3 linked regions of the Drosophila melanogaster genome follow. The protein of the gene in region 1 interacts with the protein of each later gene in a pairwise test. Each region holds a gene or a part of one and is shown on either strand. Other genes may lie near its edges.

The links. The genes of interacting proteins can lie anywhere in the genome.
Region 2: the proteins of CG13775 (region 1) and tup interact in a two-hybrid assay, tested with the Drosophila melanogaster proteins (one large-scale study listed by BioGRID).
Region 3: the proteins of CG13775 (region 1) and ecd interact in a two-hybrid assay, tested with the Drosophila melanogaster proteins (one large-scale study listed by BioGRID).

Annotation. Positions count from the first base shown.
Region 1 is NT_033779.5:6,953,857-6,960,161, forward strand, and holds CG13775 (uncharacterized protein), read right to left. Parts: upstream 3,095-6,305; 5' UTR 3,017-3,094; coding exon 2,762-3,016; intron 2,488-2,761; exon of another isoform or gene 2,452-2,487; intron 2,364-2,451; coding exon 1,401-2,363; intron 1,347-1,400; coding exon 729-1,346; 3' UTR 599-728; coding exon of another isoform or gene 537-598; 3' UTR 501-536; downstream 1-500. Other genes in the region: SA1 (stromalin 1), read left to right, coding at 1-471, 537-598; CG3430 (uncharacterized protein), read left to right, coding at 3,242-4,431, 4,490-4,733, 4,800-5,183; Atac1 (Ada2a-containing complex component 1), read right to left, coding at 5,327-6,305.
Region 2 is NT_033779.5:18,877,933-18,883,873, forward strand, and holds the start of tup (tailup), read right to left. Parts: upstream 3,330-5,941; 5' UTR 2,864-3,329; coding exon 2,725-2,863; intron 1-2,724.
Region 3 is NT_037436.4:2,262,752-2,268,679, forward strand, and holds ecd (ecdysoneless), read right to left. Parts: upstream 3,107-5,928; 5' UTR 3,025-3,106; coding exon 2,745-3,024; intron 2,672-2,744; coding exon 897-2,671; 3' UTR 830-896; downstream 1-829. Other genes in the region: CG13807 (uncharacterized protein), read left to right, coding at 222-543, 605-795; CG13806 (uncharacterized protein), read left to right, coding at 3,751-3,780, 3,853-4,716; obst-I (obstructor-I), read left to right, coding at 5,119-5,778. UniProt on the Drosophila melanogaster protein: Required in both the follicle cells and the germline for oocyte development.

The DNA.
Region 1 (6,305 bases):
TCGCTATGACGCTCCTTTTGAGCCTGATCACAGTCTTTAAGAGTCTGCAGGAGCAGAGTGAGGATGGCATAGTTTCAAAGAGTTCGCAAGAGTTTGTGGACCTCAAGGAGTTGGCCAAGCGATTTGCGCTCACATTTGGTTTCGATGCCATCAAGAATCGCGAATCTGTGGCCGCCATTCATCGTGGTGGCATTTATTTCGCTGCGAACAAGGAGCCAGATGATCCGGTGCGGGCTCCAACTCGCTTGCTCTTCCTGGAGGTTTTGAACGAGTTCAACTACAAGCTACTGAAGCAAGACAAGAAGGTCATAATGAGCTTTCTGGACAAGATAATACCACCCGCAATGCCATCCAGCCGAGCTGAGGAATGGCAGCCGCTGATATTATATCGCAATTCCTTGCTACATGGCGAAACTGATCAAGCGCCCGTCGCCAGCAAACGAGCCTACACACGTAAACGTCGAGATCATGGTAAGAATTTCATAGCTTTCATTTTATTTAGAATCAACATTATGAAAAACATGTTTTTAATTTAGATGAAGAAGAGGAGGAGGAGGAAGACGAAGAGGAACACAATGATCCTGATTACAGGGGCTAGGACCCATCAGGCAATCAGCCATACACGCGGCTTAAGTGCAAAATCTAATTTTCCGGAAAATCAAGTAGTTGTAAGATTAAAGCTAATATTATGTACATAAATACGTTTAAATTATATAAATTACTGTATCCTAATTGATTTCCGAATTGCTAAAGCTAAAGTTGGCCTTCATGAGCAACATTTTGGATGCACTTTCGGGGCTCAAGCCCGCCTGCATGTCGAAATACAAGTGCGTTGATTTTCTAAATAAGCCTTCACTAACCACACTTGCTGCTGGTGCTGATAAGAATTTCCTAACAATGCCATACAAGGATATGTATTTTATGTTGCTCCTCCACCAAATCAGGGGATCCATGTTCCTATCGATTCTGGGTTCGGAGTTGTATAGATATAGCAGATTCTTAATCTGAGACTGGGAGCCCATTGACGTATTTGGCTGTTGAGTGTTCGTCGTTCCAGTTGTCAGTATGCTATCCAGAATGCTATCGATCTTTGATTCATTCTTCTGGGACGATGTGGATGACACTTTGATTATTTTCAGCGGTGGCTGACCATTGCAATCCTCTGGCACTCCAGCGAGCTGAAGCAGAACTTCATTGGCCACCAACTGCTCCTCACGTTCGGTGAAAAATGCTTGCTTATATCTCGGATCCAAATATGTGGCCATCAAAAAGTTGATGTCGCTAGTGATGTGGGCGAACTTCATTTCCAGTTCTTCAAGCAACTTTCTGGCGAAACTGCATATAGTCTAGACATTCGAAATATTAGACAATACTTTATGGTTTTATCTACTGCAACTTACCACAGATGAGACAAAGTTATGGACATCTGTTCGGAGGGAATCCCGTAAAGCGGCAACCAGCGGGATTACGGATGAGGTGGTCGTAGATGGATTGCTCCATATCTTGATTGTTTCTTCACAAGGCTGCATTACTTTGCTGCACAAATCGATCTCTATCCATTCATCTGGATATATTTGGACCAGACTATACTCTTCGCAGTACAAGGATAGAGCATCTTTCATTCGAAACACGCTGCTCATCATCTGAAAAGCGGAATTCCATTGACAGGGATCGTAAGGTGTAAGTGTGCACGGGTCTCGCGTCAAGCGGATCTCTTGAATGAATTTCAGATGATCGTTGGCCATCTTAGACGACGCAAAATGGTCAACTATTTGCTTGCACTTGGATGAAAGGTTCTGCAGTAATTCGTTCGATTGCAAAGCAAATCGAACGCACATCTGCAGGCGGTGCACACTGCAATCGGGCAGGGAACCTGGCAGCGCCGTCATCTCGTCCCTGATTACGCAGTGTATCTTCTCTTTGGGCACCTCAATGGCCAAGCTGGGCACAAGATCTCGAATGCAACAAGCTAGCTTCGAAGTGCTTTCGTAATTCAGAGCCTCGCATTTCAGCATTAGGCGGTGAGTCTGAAAATCCCTTGATATTCCGGAGCAGGACAAGCTCAGCAGTCCTTCGCCTTTGTCACCACGCCAGAGACTCGTAGACAACGATATGGCATCCAGCAGATCCACCTGTTGCTTCAAATGCTGATGCATTTTCCTTTGTATATCCTCGCACAGTATCTTCTCATAGTAGCTCCTTGGTTGAATCGTGTACCGCGGCTGCAGCGTCCTAATGAAATTTACGAATCCTGGTCCTTCAATGAACTCAAAGGAGTGATTTAGTAGCATGAGGGCCAACTTCTCATCACAGCGTTTGCTGTAGGATATATCCTCGGTGTCCAATGGATCTGAATCTGTTTCCTAAAATGATTAATAGAATAATTTAATGCATCAGATTAGTGAAAAACGCATAATTTATAAAAATATAATACTAAGACCATAACAGTACATTTTTAAAACCTCCTTAACTACACTTTATAAACACAACACATGTTTGCCGATCTAGCCAAACGCGGATAAAAATCCGCATCCGCTGTTGCTATATTAGTAAAAAGTTTTAAATAAGAGAAGGCATAAATTACTTTATGAACTACCAAAGAAACTATATTTGAATGGAAACTTAAGTTTGGGGAAACCATCTCCACATGACAGAATATCTAGAAGGGCATGTACCCCGATTTCACATAAGGTACACTTCTTGCACAGTACATATGCATGTACATAGGTATGTATGCACATCTATATGCTATCCCACTTACGTGCAGATTCAATTCTAGCTGGGCTGTGGGGTGCTGTGGCGAACCGATGGAGATCTCGCTCTTAACCAGGTCCAGGTACTTTATGTCCCCGGATAGAGATAGGAACTCCGGTGGGTGCTTGCTCTTCAGATGATTCCGCAGACATGTTGTGCCGCGTCCTCGCCTCGAGTAGTTCCTGTTGCACAGCAGACAGGTGGCCACTGTGCCGGATGTCTTGTAGAAGTACTGCCACACATTGCTTTTCTTCTTGCTCATCGCTGCAATTCTTTGGTAATTCTCAAATTGTACATTTTTTGCGGATGTCCACATCCGCCTCTACATCCGTTCTGCGGCAGAGTTCGACATCCCTGGCAGATATCGATAGGCCCATCGATGACCATCACTAATATGCTGCAATCAGTTTTTGGCGCGCCAAAGCAGCTGTTGTTTTTTGCATTCGAGGTTTTTGAGGCATTTGCAAATTCATTCGTTAACTAGATAATGCCCTGTGCGATGGAGCTGCCCAGCACGCCCGATGAACTGGCCGCCCAGCAAGCGGACAGCGCTGCACTCAAGGACTTGCTCAAGGATCCCAGTCGTTGGCACTCGATTCCCCTGCTCAACTACACGCCTCTTCACAAGCTGAAGGATCAGACTCTGGTGCGCTTTCGTGGAATGATCCAGGACATGATGGACCCAGAAATCTATCTGGAGCGCTACGAAGTGAAATCCGCCGACGGCAGCAAACGTGTACAGGAAGGAAAGTACAGGGACTGCTTGAAAATAGCCAATGGCGAAGTGATTGACTACAACGCCGATGGAAACGTGCATGGAGAGAGGCGTACCATGTTCGTGGTCTCTGTGCCTGGTCTGAACGATTGGAGCAAGGAGCATGAGAAGCTGTGCTGTCCCCAGATCGATTTGGCCAGTCTGGGTCAATCTCCCAGTTCAGCCAAGAAGCGGACTATTGTAGGCGAAGAAGAAGCCATGGATGTGGACGTTGCGAGCGAAACAACGTTCAAGCGACCCTGCCTAAAAGAGATTCAAAAAGATAGCGAGCCAGTCGGCGCCTCCAAATCCTCTGTTCTTGGGTCTGATTACCTGATTAACTCGCCTCTGCCGGATCGTCCCAGCATGGCATGCATGGTAAAGGTTTACGAGGAGTTCGATACCTACCAGCTTAACTCGCTGGTCGACTTTGTGGGCTTTCTGTCAGTGGATGCTTCACTAGACGCCGCTACCCTGGAAATAGACGATTGTGAAAACTTGAGTGAACTGCAGGCAGCTCATCCATCGCCATTTCTTATACCCCGCCTGCATGCCTTCGGAGTCCAGGTGCTGCCGCATGCCAATCCGCTGCTGGACAAAAGCCTTCGACAGCCAACGGAAATATGTGAGGAGACGTATCCAACCCACCTTGCTGTGCACAAAGATCTGCGCATGCTTCTTAAACTCTGCCTCTTTGATGACGATCTGGCTGCCGAGTATTTGCTCTCCCACCTAATATCTACGGTCTACAGTCGTTCTGAGATGCAGAGCATCGGCAAGTTCGCCCTTAACCTTTGTAATCTCCCTAAGAATTGTGAGGCGTATGCAACCAAGTTGTATCAAATTCTGGAGCTGCTACTGCCGGCCAGCCATTACATGCCCATGACTCTCGTCACACTAAACACGGCAGCCTTTGCCCCAAAGTAAGTTGGCTAAGCAGAAATAGTATAAAATTGAATACCTATTAATGAGTACTTGCAGGAAGGATTATGAGACAAACAAGCTGGTTTCCGGCGTACTACAGTTGGCTCCCCATACGCATTTGGTGCTCGACGAGACGTGCATGCAACAGGGCAAGCTGGAGGCCAATGGTGTTCATGCCGTTCAGCATTTAGCGCACTTGATCAATAATCAGGAACTGAAGTGCGACTTTCAGTATTACCAAATAGACTACCAAGCAAATATTCCAGTTCTCGTGCTCAGTGAAGGGCGAAGTATGTTGCCGGTAAGAATATAAGTTTATATAAATAATCATTATATCCAATAGAAACTATTAATGATATGTTTTCAGAGCGATTTTGTGCTGCCCATTAATGCCGATTCTAAGGCCGTGGAACTTGTTGATGAATCTCTAAAGGCAGCCCACCACTATCTGCAGCCATCACGTCTGCAGCAGTTTCGCAAGTACTTGACCACAGCGCGCACTAGCGGCTTCAACGTGAGCGAGGAGCACACTGAAATGATCCAGCAGGATTTCGTGGACATGCGTAAAGCTAATGTCAAAAGTAATGCCGATGATCTGCATGGATTGCTGGTCCTCTCACGGCTGCTGGGCATCGCCCGGGGGAAGGATACGTTGGACAAAGAAACATGGCAGCTGGCTACGGAGTTCGAAGCAAAGCGTCGCCAGCGTATTCAATCTCTGCCGAAATCATCTGCCCAATTGCGCAATTAAGAGGGCCTCTCTTTTATACCATTTAATATTAAGTTTTTATAAATAAAATAGAATTTTTTAAAATTATTCTCTTTATATTTAATTTGTAGCTTTACAGGCAAGTCTAGTAATTTAGTACTCAAGTAAATGGGACTCTAGGAGCGTCATGACTCTTGGTCCACTACAACTTCATGACTTAAATGCTCGAAACGCCCTTCGATTAGCTGACTGGCCAGGCAATCTCCGCACAGATTAAGGTAACAATAACAACTGTTACAACGCCATTGGGTCCTGGTCACAGATGCCTCTTCGCACTCGGCACACTTGGCGGCCAGCAAGTCTGGCTCATATCCGTCCTCCATTTCCCGTTTCTCGTCCTGAATGGCTGATAGAAGCTTAAGGCATAGTTCCTGTTTTCGCTTTGACTCCGCATTCAGATCGGCATCCATGTACTCGGATTCGATCTTTGGTTCGATCTTGGATGCCGGCATAAGGAGCATATCGCTCGCAGGCGATGGGATTCGCAGGTCGTCAAATGTGAAATCGTCCTCTGGCATTTGTAGCGATATATTATGAGCGGGGAAGAAGGTTGACTTGCGAAGTTTGATCTTCGGCTTACTCAAACCAGGACGTCGATGCTTGGGTATGCGACCGGGCACAGGCATTCCGGCATCGTGCAGCTTTTGGAAATACTTCTGGACACGACTATACACTTGCTGTGCCGTTCTGTTGCCCAAGGCCTTCGCTATCTTCCCGAATCTGCGCATTTCCACTTCCTCTGGCGGATACTGGATGAGCAGCTGCTCCAAGCGACTCTGCTCTTCGTTGGTCCACAAGCGATTGAAATTCTCCGACCGTCCATTGCTCCTGTCCCGATTCTTGTTCGCCTCTTGCGTCCATGAAGACGCATCGGTCGGTGTCTCATTTGTGCCCCCTTCCTCGTCATTGGGCGACAGAGTTGGCAAGTCCGGTAGAACGGTCGTGGTGATGTAATTATCCGCTATCAAAGGCTCGTTGTTTCGCAGTTTGTCCAGCATATGTTGCGGATTCTCCAAGTAGATATTTTGTGTGGCTTCCAATTCCTCAATCTGCTGATGCACCCGAATCCTTTGTGCCTGCAGCACGGCCAAAGTGCGCAGCAAA
Region 2 (5,941 bases), about 12 Mb from region 1:
ATCTGAGATCGGTGATCTATGGCTAAATAACCAGCCTCATCTGAAAACTCGGTTCCATTCTCTTTCGTTCGCAGACGACTTAACCTTATATGGCCGACGATTGACACTTTACAAATTATTCGAAAAATTATTTCAACTTTTTGTGCATTGGCTAAACATTTGCCCAATCCATTTTTCACAATTAACTTTCGAAAGGTTTTGTGTTTATTCATCGAAAATGCCAATTAGCATTCGGTGAATTTGCTGGCGAGAAATTTAAATGGAATTAATATGAATTAGATTAGGGAACATGTGTACGACGAGTAAGGGGAAAATCCGTGCCACCCCCGCTTCGCATTTTATTCAAATTTTTGGCTAATTGGTTAACTATAAAAATAAAAATCGCTTGGCTTTTATGGCCGCAAATAATTGTCAATTTTTGATGGTCTTCAACATAAAGTGGTACAATTTTATGGCAGCCGCCAACATGAAAAACCGAAACTAGTTCAACGCCCTGATGTATGCAGCGATCTCGGACTTACATAATTTTCTATAGAGCACGGAGAGTAAACAAAGGCTCTTCAGATACTTCAGATGGCGATTTCTTTTTGTTTTTACTATATTTAATTAATTTAACGACTACTTGAGAAGTTGCCAACGACATGTTGACTGGAGGCCTGGGTCTGTGACATGGAAAACTCATTAAAATGTTTACAGCGCTCAAAAATCAACAAACAAACAAAACTCGCCTCGGAACCAAGCGAACTAACAAAAGAGAGTGGAGCTGGCTGATACTAGAGGGGGGGGGGACGAAACGAAAACTACAAAAATTGTTTTCATTTCAAATATCAACTTGAAGCTGGAAAACTCTAACTTAAAGTTTTGTCAGCCGCCAACTAACTCACAGAGCAACTAAGCAGAGCGATGGGGAGGAAACTTTGTGAAAAGTTTTCAAATTAAAATGTTCGGACATTAAATATTTACCAGCGCTCCATGGCCGACAACTAATTTGAATTTAAATTACAATTACTAAAATTCAATGCAATTTAAATGATTCGCAGCTACAACTGCATGTGCTGCATTATTCCAGCCTCATATATAATTCAATTTCCCCGAACCCATTGTATGTAGTATATGTGCTTATGATTATGATTTTTCATGTTTTCCTTTTTTTTTCGGAATTTTTGTTTGGCTTTTTTGTGTTCTGCGGTCGTTCGTTTGGTTAGACAACTGTCAGCCAAAACATTTGTCACAATTTAGCATACGAAATAAAATTTGAATAAAATATATTCCTCTTTCTGTCACACACGGATGGCATTTTTTAATGACACTCTTGGTTTATGAATTCATAAAATGCATTTTGGTTAACAAACTTTAGGCTAGTTAAAAATTTGTCACATTATCGCATGAGATACATTTGTGATACATTTCCAGCTCTTTTCAGCTTTTTTCATGCAATTGCTTGCCCGCTTTGCTTGCGCGCTTAATTGCTCAGCATTAAAATGTCATTCAACCGTTAATTGGCTTCTATATAATATGTAAAGTGTGCTTAAAATAAAATACGGCTATAATTTAACAGTTATTGCCGTACTGAAACAACAAGTGACAGGTCGAGATAGGGTCTAAGCCCATTACAAAAGCTGCAGCGACAAGTCGGCTAACGACTGTGGCCCGAAAGAAATCCCGAACCTAAAGATAGAACCTCAGAAAGTCGTTCAATATACAAAAAAAAAGATCCTCCAATTTGACAAAAGAATGGCACAATAAAAATTATTTATGGATTCGTATTTTCTTGGTATCACTTTAATTTGTTTGTAATTACTTTAGCGCAGCCTTGCTCACATCACATCCATTGGCAAAATTAAAAACTCAAGGTATGAAAGAGTTCAACGCGTGCCTGAACTTTTTAATGATTTTGGTATAAAAATAACTTCGACCTTCGTTACAAATAAACTTGACTAACAGTTCATGGTTTTAAAGCTCGGAACCTTTGAGTCCGAGCCTTGATCTCTGATATCTGGAATTTAAAATGGTGGGCATTAAAATGTTTCAAAAATAAGCAAGACAAGTTTACAACTGTGATTTGGGTGCGAGCATTTGTTAACACGGCTTTTTACTTATTTTATTGGCTTTTAATGTCCAAAGCGGGCTTTCCTCGTTCATTTTCCATATTTACGAATCGAGAAAGTTACCCATCAGTGGCTCTTGTTTAATGACTATTTAATTTGCCAATTTTTGTTTGGGGACTAGGACAATAGCCATAAATAAGTCATTAACTGCTTTAAATAGCTTTATTAGCGGCAAATGATTCGACACTGATGCGTGATCTATGTAATGATGTTTCAATTGCAGGTATACAATTTCTGAATAGGTTGATTTAAAATGCAATTTAATCTTGGTTTACAGTGGATCAACAAAGCGCTTTTTTAGACTAAACCCCTATTAGCCTCTAAGTTATTTGTCAGGACATTTATTTAAATCCAAATTTTAAATCTAAGGGAACTAAGGAAAAAAACTGTAATGCCTTCTTAAACAGACCGAAAGTACTTAGAACCAACAAATGTATCTAGAAGATACAATAGCCTCATATCCAAACTGTGGAAGGGCATTCCATTGTTCTTTTTTTAAGACTGTCCCTAGGTAAGTGATCGTGCTATCTCCAGTATTAAATATCGTCCTTTTCAAGGATGCAGCCCAAATAGCCCGAAATCGGAAAGCCAGCAGCCCTTGAATATCGGTACTCACTTATCACATCGTGTCCATGGCAATCCAAATCCAGGTGATGGTTCATCACCAGCGATGGCTGTAATCCAGTTTGATTGTGGTTGTGATTGTGCAACGGTAGCTGGTGAGCCAAATGGCCACCAATCTCTGCCATTACCATATATTTGGCTGACAGGACACTCGGCGAAGCACACTCGAGATATTTGTGGGCTGGGAATCTTGAGAGCGGGCGCCTTTTCGTTTTGGGCCGTACTCAAGAAGTTTCCGGCATTGAGCAGGGATATTTGTGTAAGGCACTTGTACTGGTTTACTTATTCCGTGAAGTTTGCTTGAATTACTCAATATGAGACCGGGACACAGAGCACTGGGTTTTCGGCGAATTTAGCGGGATTATCACGGCTGTGTGATCCGTGTGCGCACACGCGTTTTGTTCGCAGGGATTTGGATCTATGGTGAGGGATTTAAGAGTCTCTCGCATCCGAAAAGGCAAATCCGACGGCTATCGAGCTAAGACGGTCGATGTTCGCGATACGACGGCTATATAGTAGCGATGACGACAACCGACCAACGACGATGTCTGGCGCACAAACATGCTCACTGCACGGAGACTGCTGAACGACTAAACCGGTCGGCGCTTCGTTCCGTTTGCCGTACGTTATCCGCACGCCAGGGAGCCAGCGAGCTAGCGAGCCAGCCAGCCACTCACCCCGAAATGTATCTCGCAGATACATTCTGCCTGCGAGAGCAGTGCGACTAGCTCGTCGCTCCGCAAGGGTAGGGAACTGGTGTGGCACTGGTGCAGCTGCAACCGGTTCCGAGCCAGTTCTGCGTGTACTTCTCGGATAGCCGATAGCGGATAGCCGACTCGATGGACTGACGGCCTGCAGGGGGGGGGGAGTTCGAAACAGGAACAGGTGTTTTTGTCGCACTCGCTCTGCGGGCAGCGCTCTCACGCTCCGTCCTTTTCTGGCAGCAAGCCCATCTCTTTCGCTTCCACTTGGTGGGCCTTTTCTAAATGGCGGCGAAGCGGGCCAATCGGTTGGACGGAGTGCGCATGACCGACTCCAGCTGTGGCTGCGGGATCCACAATCCACAAATGGAGGCAGTCAGGAGGTGGGCCCACATCCTCGCTCCCTTCGCTGGCCTTTTGTTTTGCCAATTTCGCTTTTGGTTTTCGAAGTTTGTACTACAAAATGGTTGCACTTGTAAGCAAGCGCACCCCCCTGGCCAACCCTACCCCACTCTTCATCCGTCGTCTGTCTTTCTACCCCCGAACTGTTGTAATGCGCTTGTCGAACTTTTCGGCTGTAGCCCCTCCGCTTTTGGGGCTCCCCTTTTCGCCCCTTTCCGCCCCCCTTGTCTCACCTGCCCGTCTTGACTTGGCTCTGCGGTCTGAAGGCGTCTCGTTTCGGGTGTGCTGCAACATCATAATAATTATTGATCTTTTGATTTCGTCTTCTGGTCTTTTGGGGAGCGCTCCAATCTCCACCCCCTCCCCCCCTGTTGCTCTGTTGCTCCTTCAAGGCCCTGTTGCAATTTTAATGACGCCCCCGTACGGCAATTTATATATGTGTTCGAGTGGGTGGCGGTCGGTGTCTGTGTTGCGGTTAGCAGTTCGTTGACTTGGCACCCAGTTGCCAACATTTGCTGGCCGATGATTTGTTGTAATGTCAGTTACCAGTTACCATCACCGACTCTTGGGGTGCACTCGAAGAAAAGCTTGTTTAAGCAATTTTGAAGAATGCTTATCTGTAGGCCAGGAAGAAGTTTAAGATGAGTTGTGGTGGTAAATTATTTTACTTAAATGTGCACATTTCTAAATTATATAGAATATGTGATAGAGATACAATCTAGTTTTATAATATTTTAAGTTTAACATCATAAACATATTGTGTTACTGTACAATTTAGTTAGATTTCCTTATTATTTTTTCGAGTGTCTGTAGCCTCTGACTACTTTTTTGCCATTTTTATTTGACGTAGGGTATTTTGAAGGAGTGGCCCTGCTGCGAACAGGGCTGCTTGTGGGTCTGGTAGAGTTTGAGCTGGTTTGGGGGGTGGTGGCGCTGCTGCTGTGTTGTATAATCAAGGTCATCGAGCTACAGTTTCAGTGGCCCGCTTGCTCCGTTTGGGGCACTCATTCATAGCCGTGTCTCAGTTAGCCAGACGCCGACATTAGTACATACTTGTTACAGCGAGCCACCCCCTTGCTACCATCCAACACCATCCTCTGCCACCCCCAACAGTACCCCAACCACCCCCGAATTGCGAGGCTTTCGCGCCATCTCCTTCGCACTCGAACGACAGCTGGCCAGCAGAAAACAGCTGACTGATGTCTGTGTGTTCGCCTGCGAGGGTGTGTGTGCCGGCGTATCTGTGTGCGGGGCAACTAGGCAGCTGGATGAGTGTGCGTTTGCTGGCAACATGAATTCAAAATTTAATTAGGTCCCGTCCATTAATTGGGTTAATTGAAATGCCGGTAAAAGTCAACGCTTACGAATTAGGACATGTCACTCAAGCCACTGCGCATCGATATGGTCGGAACAACGTTTAACTTGTTGGTTGAAATAGTTTTGTTTCGATTCGTTTAATTGAAATTGAGCAGACATGCTATATTAGCCATTGTTTAATGCATTTTTCTGCTTAAGCCCACGGCTGATCTTAGCCATTGGACAACTTACTGTCCTGGACCTAATTGCTAAGCTACCGAGCTTAACTTGGCTTTAATTGTTGGCGGCAGCTAATAAGGAAGATTGCATAGAGTTGTTTCTGTTTGATGCTTCACTAATGCTTCAGGAGGTAATTATATGTAATTATACTCTTATATGCAAAATATTAAATTATTCTAGTAGGATAGTATAAGCATTTATATTATCGAACTTATGGTATAACTTGACTATTTATTTCAAATAGTCATTTGTAATTAACATAAGTAAAGATATAGATTTCAAGGTTTTCCAGTACATTTCCCAAAGAGTTATGGTTATTGATTTCAATCTTCTAGAAAATAAATATATTGATTGAAATGAAGGTGAGTGGCATTCTTGTAATAAATATATACAAAATCGCAACCTTGGGCGCAAATAATATTTATTGCAGTTCTACGTTTATGCAAATGATTACGTTGTGTTCCTAGAATTTTGCCCTTTCATGGATCCTAATTAAATAAGTTTAAACCGTTCTTAAGTTTCACTTTCGCTTATTCCGATATTTTTCGCCATCATCTGCCCGGTCAACTT
Region 3 (5,928 bases), on another chromosome or scaffold:
ATTTGTAGTCACCATTAATATATTATAATTTAATAACTCTCTTAACCTGAATTGATTCCGATATATGTGTGTGCTTATGTGAGGTGTATTTATTTCGATAGCGTGACTTGACCAAATCACTGTTACTTCAGAATTGCAGCTGAACACATAAACAGCTGTCGCAGCTGAGCTGTGTTGAAAAATTCAGTCGAAGGGAGTTTATTTGTATAAATACCGAAACAATGGTGGATCCCAACCGAAAGATAAACCGTCTGGTCGAAAGGGACCTGAACTTCCTGGAGTCCTGCGAGCTTGAGTTCGCAGACCGCTTCACTGACGACGACCCAGAGTTCATGGCGCACTGCAGCAAGCCTGTGCCGGAGCCGCCAATTGTGGAGAACTGGATGGGAGGTGGCGGAGGAGGAGGCGGCTTCCAGGGCGGAGGAGGCGGTGGTCATCCCTACCACAATCGCTACAACGGACATCGCAGAGGAGGCGGCGACAGGGGCTGGCAGCGACGAGGAGGAGCTGGCTACCACAACAACCAGGACAGGGGATTCAGGGGTAATACCCGGGAAGAAGCTCAGTTTCTATTTATAGCTTACCAACGCATTTGTTCCCACAGACAACCGGCGCAACAACAGATACGATCACATCGATCGCCGGAATCGGTACGAAGGAGGCGGAGGGTCCGGAGGATCTGGAGGCTACAAGCGCTCCCATGATCATAACCAGAGAAATGATACTCCCAATAACGAACCACCCATGAAGGTCAGACGCGACTATGGAAACTTTGTGCCTGCATCCAAGGATTAGTTATCGAATATATCAAATAAGAATACTCTGCATTACATTGAAATATTCACATTGACGTTTATTTAATGGACTTAAGACTATACTAATTCCTGTAATCCCGCTTAAACGGCCGACTCAGATATATCCTTTTGTTCCTTGTCCTCGACAGCCGACATGCCCACGCCCATGGCGCTAAACAGATTGGATACAGGACCTGCGCCGCCAACCTGCGATTGGTAGCTATCCATCATGTTGCGCAGCGTGTTTACGTTTATATTGATGGGCTCAAAGTCCTCAATGTCATCGAAATCGTCCTCGTCCGCCTGTGGAGCTGTCTTCTTCTTGCCGTGGAAGGACTTGCCCACGCTGGTCTGAGCCAACTCGCGGTCCATCTGCTCCATATACGATTGAATCTGTCGATCGAGTGGGAACACACTGCCGCCTCCAGAAAGTGCATTTAGATTACTCTCCATGTCGTCCTCGTCCGCGTAGTCGCTCATCTCCGAGGTGGAGTCCCAGTTGTCCTCGGGTATTACGAAATCCAGGAAATTCCGCACATGGGTGCTGTCCGGTTCCTCCGGCTGGATGACGGAATTGCGCTGGCACGCCTTGCGCATGGAGGGATTCTTCTTGACCTTTGCTGTCAGTCCTGTGGAACCGTTTGCCTGCGGCGGCGGCTCGTCATCGTCTGAGTCCAGTTCTGGCTCCTCGAGCCCTCGGTGCTCAATGCCCTCGTAGTTGGACTGCCGATCTAAGAACTCCGCCAGCTGCTTGGTGAACTCCTCGGCATTCATTTGTCCGTTCGGCTTGTAGAGCTTCTTGGGTCCGTAGCGATCCTGCAGCATGGAGTCTAGATCCTCAGCGCTGATATTCAACCACTCATCCGAGTCGCTGGGCTGCAGGTTGTTCTCCTCATCGCGCAGCTCCTCGGAAGCAGCCTCCGCTGGATGGAGCAACAGGTCGAGGATCTCGGCACCCGCTCTGGAGGCTGTGCGGAAACGCTCCTGGTTGCCACGAAAGTACACCTTGGCCTTGTTCAGCAGCTCCTGGTACTCGGCACTGCCCTCGATGTTGTCCCGGAAGTAGCCCTTGCTCAGCAAGCTCCGCAGATACGATCGCCAGGCAGGAAGGTCCTCCAGCTGTTGGCCCTCAACCCGCTTGGCTTGAGTGGCCAGGATCTCCAGTCCACTGGCCAGCTTCAAGCCCAATAGTTGTTCCTTATATCGTTCCGGCTCGGATACAGGATCCGTGAGATGCCAGCCGAGTCTCTTCTCGGGCAGATACTGCTGGTGCGACAACATGGCGTACAGACAGCGGGTGAAACGCACGTTGGTGCGCACGCGTGTGGCCTCCGGTGGGAAATATCGCATGGTGCGAAGTGCCTTGATGTCCAGCGAGTCCCGCTCGCAGAAAGCCCTAACCGCCGAGGAGAGCAGCCTTGGCTTCTGTTTCAGAAGCTGTGCAGCGCTATGCGGGAGCTCCAGCACCTGGCGATGAATGGAGAAGTGCGGCTGAGCGATCTGGTACTCCTTAAGCCGCGCGTCAATGCACGACTGTATCTCCTGCGAGCAGCGGTACAGGGTGGGATTCATTCGTATACGTTGCACAGCCATGGCCATGGTCAGTGGCTTGTCCTGGCTGCTGGCGGCGGAGTTCTGGAGAAGCTGCAGGTGACCACCGACCAGATAAACGCGCTGCTCGCACGTTTCCGGAGACGCCCAGTCGGGCAGGGCGTCCGCCGCCTCGATGAGCAGGAACTCGCCATCCGAATCGCTCACCCGTGCAATGCAGTCGCCGCGTGCACGTGTGATCTCCGTGAGCAGATAGACAACGAACCACTCGTCGCTGATGTTGTCGCCATAGTGGGTTACGCCGTGGAAGTGCGGTGGGAGGTCGCCTGGGCGGGGACATGGAAATGGATGATTTCGAATTGCAGAAACAAAGCTATTTATAGCACATTGTGCGCATACCCAGTTCCGCCTCCTCCTCCGGGTTTGTCTCCTCGTTCAGCAGGCGCTCCTCGGCGCCGCCCAGCCTCACCTGAAGCTGAAACTCGTCCTTGTGCCACAGATAGCTGCGCTCTAAGGACTTTTCCCTTACAATGGCCGAGATCTCGTTGCGGATCTGAAGCATCAGTTTGCGCAGCGCGCCCTCATCCTGTACGTTGTCGGGGATCTTGGGAAAGATGTAGTACTCCACGAAGTCCTCCTCGCGGACGAACTCCAGATTGCTGCCTGGAATCTTGCTCATCCTTTGTCCTTTTGCTCCTCCTCCTTTTTTTTATTTGTTAGGGCGTTCGAGGTGACACTATCGACATGAGTGCGTGCTTCCGAACTGACTATCGTTCAAAGAAGTTCGTTCACACTGGTCGCGCAGCAGGGTTCCGCTTCAGCAGAGCGGTGGAGGACGTGGCTAAGCGCTTAGCGGTGACCCAACCCATTCCCGTTATTTCTCTCAGCGATTTTTTATGATTGAAGATTAGGTATGAACCGAAGATTAGGCATTAAATTCCTTTACTAAAAGTGCATATTTACAAAAGCTAGCGGTCAGTTTTATTGAAAGAAATGGTATTTAAATATTTACTCGAGAGCACTTTAAAGTGCTCTGAATAAGTCGGCCAAACAAAATCCCGACTTGTTTACACATTAAACACCCACTCCACTTGACACTCCAGCTAGTTGGACCAATTTTTAGTAAATGTCGTTCACTCACCCATCATTGCGGCATTCCGATCCGCGTAGTTGTTGTAATTAGAAACGCCGCTGCGTTTGCCACTTTGCCCAACTCCCATCGCCTTTTCAAAGTTGATAGATAGACAAACAGACACCCAAAAGATATAAAACGCTATCTAAAGTCTGCTATTTCGGGACTTTTATTGCTGTCACCATATGAGTCTGAATCAGACAATCGAAGATTCTCGTGGAAGTTGGACCTAAACTAACCAGAAACAAAGTCCAAAAGGGGAAATACATCGTCATGTTCTTGGAAAGAATACTAGTGAGCGTGGTAGGTAGTTTTTCAGAATAGGATAAACTTAAGTGAATGGCATTTGATTTTTATGTCCCCACCGCCCAACAGTTACTGCTCAACCTGGTGGCTCTGCTTATGGGAGCCACTGTTACCACCCGGCGCATCCAGCCGCGGGAGACAAACTCCTGCGAGGGCCGTCAGAGTCCCGGGCCCATCTGCGAGTCCTGCGAGCTGCTGGCCACCTGCGTGCGTCACTCCAACGGATGGGTGAACATTCCCGTGGAATCGTGCGACGTGGCTAATGGATACTACTGCAACGCCCGGCTGGGGAGCTGCACCAACGAGACGGGCCCGTGTCATCCGTTCGGCATCGAGGGCAACTTTCAGTGCACCTCGCAAGGCATCTTTCCAGATCCGTACGACTGCCAGAAGTACCACATGTGCTACTTCGTGGGGGCCACTCTGGTGGCTGCTGCCGTTGATTGCGGCAACGACAAGGCCTTCGATGCGACGACTGGCCAGTGCACTTTGACCCTGACTGACTCCGTCTGCCTGCAGCGACAGTACTACTGCCCCAATGCCGGACACGTGGCCGCCTGGCCCACCAATCCCAATATCTTCTACGTGTGCAAGTCGACGGTTAACCAGAACCTGAACGACACCATCGTCATCTACCCCTCGCTGCACAGGTGCAACGATGGCGAGACCTTCGTGGACTACGTCTGCCGCAGCGGATCGAATGTCCTGCCGCCCAGCACCGATGATCCTTCGGTGATCATCGAGGATCCCAACGACGACGACTTTTCGGTGCTGCCCAACACCTGTCAGCACGTGGGCTTGATGGCCGATGGAAACGACTGCCGGAAGTACTACTACTGCTCGGCTCTAAATGGCACCCTGCGGCACATGGACTGCCCCAATGGGACTTACTACCGACCGGAGCTATCCTCCTGCGTCCTGGGAAGCTGCTGAGGAAGATGCATTCCTGCACTTTATTTATTCCTCTTCAATGGATTACATTTAATAAACAACTCATGTTTACCCTGGAATAACAATCTATTTGACATGAATTTATGAATTCCCATTTCAAAAGGTATCAGTTTGATAATAAAGATTCAACCACCATGTCCGTGGGTAATTAAACCAGAATGAGTTCTTTGTTTTTTTCCAATAAAAGTGCAATAGAAATGGACTAGTACTGTCTTGGTTCTTTCTTGCTAAGAGTGCTGTGACTAGGTCATAAATGTTCCATAGAATGTTTTTTTCGTGACAACATTGCAGTTTATCTATTAATTATACCGAAACATTCTGCGTTTGGTTGTGAGGTACTATATAAGGCGGAGTGTGAAGAGGTCTACTTAGAAAGTTTGCAACATGGATTCATCTCGCCTGATTATCTGCCTCCTAACTTTTCTGTTGTTTCAAACGGGAAAAGGGTTGGGGAACGGCAGTTATCTGGAGCTCAGATTGGATGCAGCTGCTGAATCCTGTCCAGATGATTACTACTTTAACGAAACTATCCAAGCCTGCGTATCTACAGACACTACCAGCTGTACCAATCACCAAATCGGCAAATGTCCGATGGCCACAGAAATGGACGAGTTTTGCGTGTGCAAAGATAAGCACCTTCAGATCTGGAAATGCCCTGAAGGAACCTACTTCGATGCCAACCGATTGGTCTGCCGGGTGGGAAGCGTTGAGTGCCAGGACGATTATACTCCATCCCCATGTCCTAACAGCACGGCAAGCGATGTCTTCTGCCTCTGCATCGATGGCAAATGGCATCTTAACTACTGTCCAACGGGCTTTACCTTTGATGACGAGCTGCAGATTTGCCTGAACACAGGATCTGATGACGACGAGTTGCCCAGTTCGTCTGGAAAGTGCCAGCGGCTTGGATTGTTTGGTGATCCCGCTGACTGCTCTGGGTACTATCATTGTCGCGAAAAGGGCAGTGATATTGAGTATTTCAGATGCTCGGTAGGAACCATCTTCAATCTAATTTCCTTTGCGTGCGTTACTGGAACTTGTTGACCCAACATATTATAGTTATTGTAGCTAGCCTATCTTGGAATAAAACTGATTAAAACTGATTAAACTATTTTCAATGAATTCCGGATTTATCAGTTCGCAGTTTCGATGATACTCTTCGAATAATTACAATTTTAGCTACGCTTAGTAAGT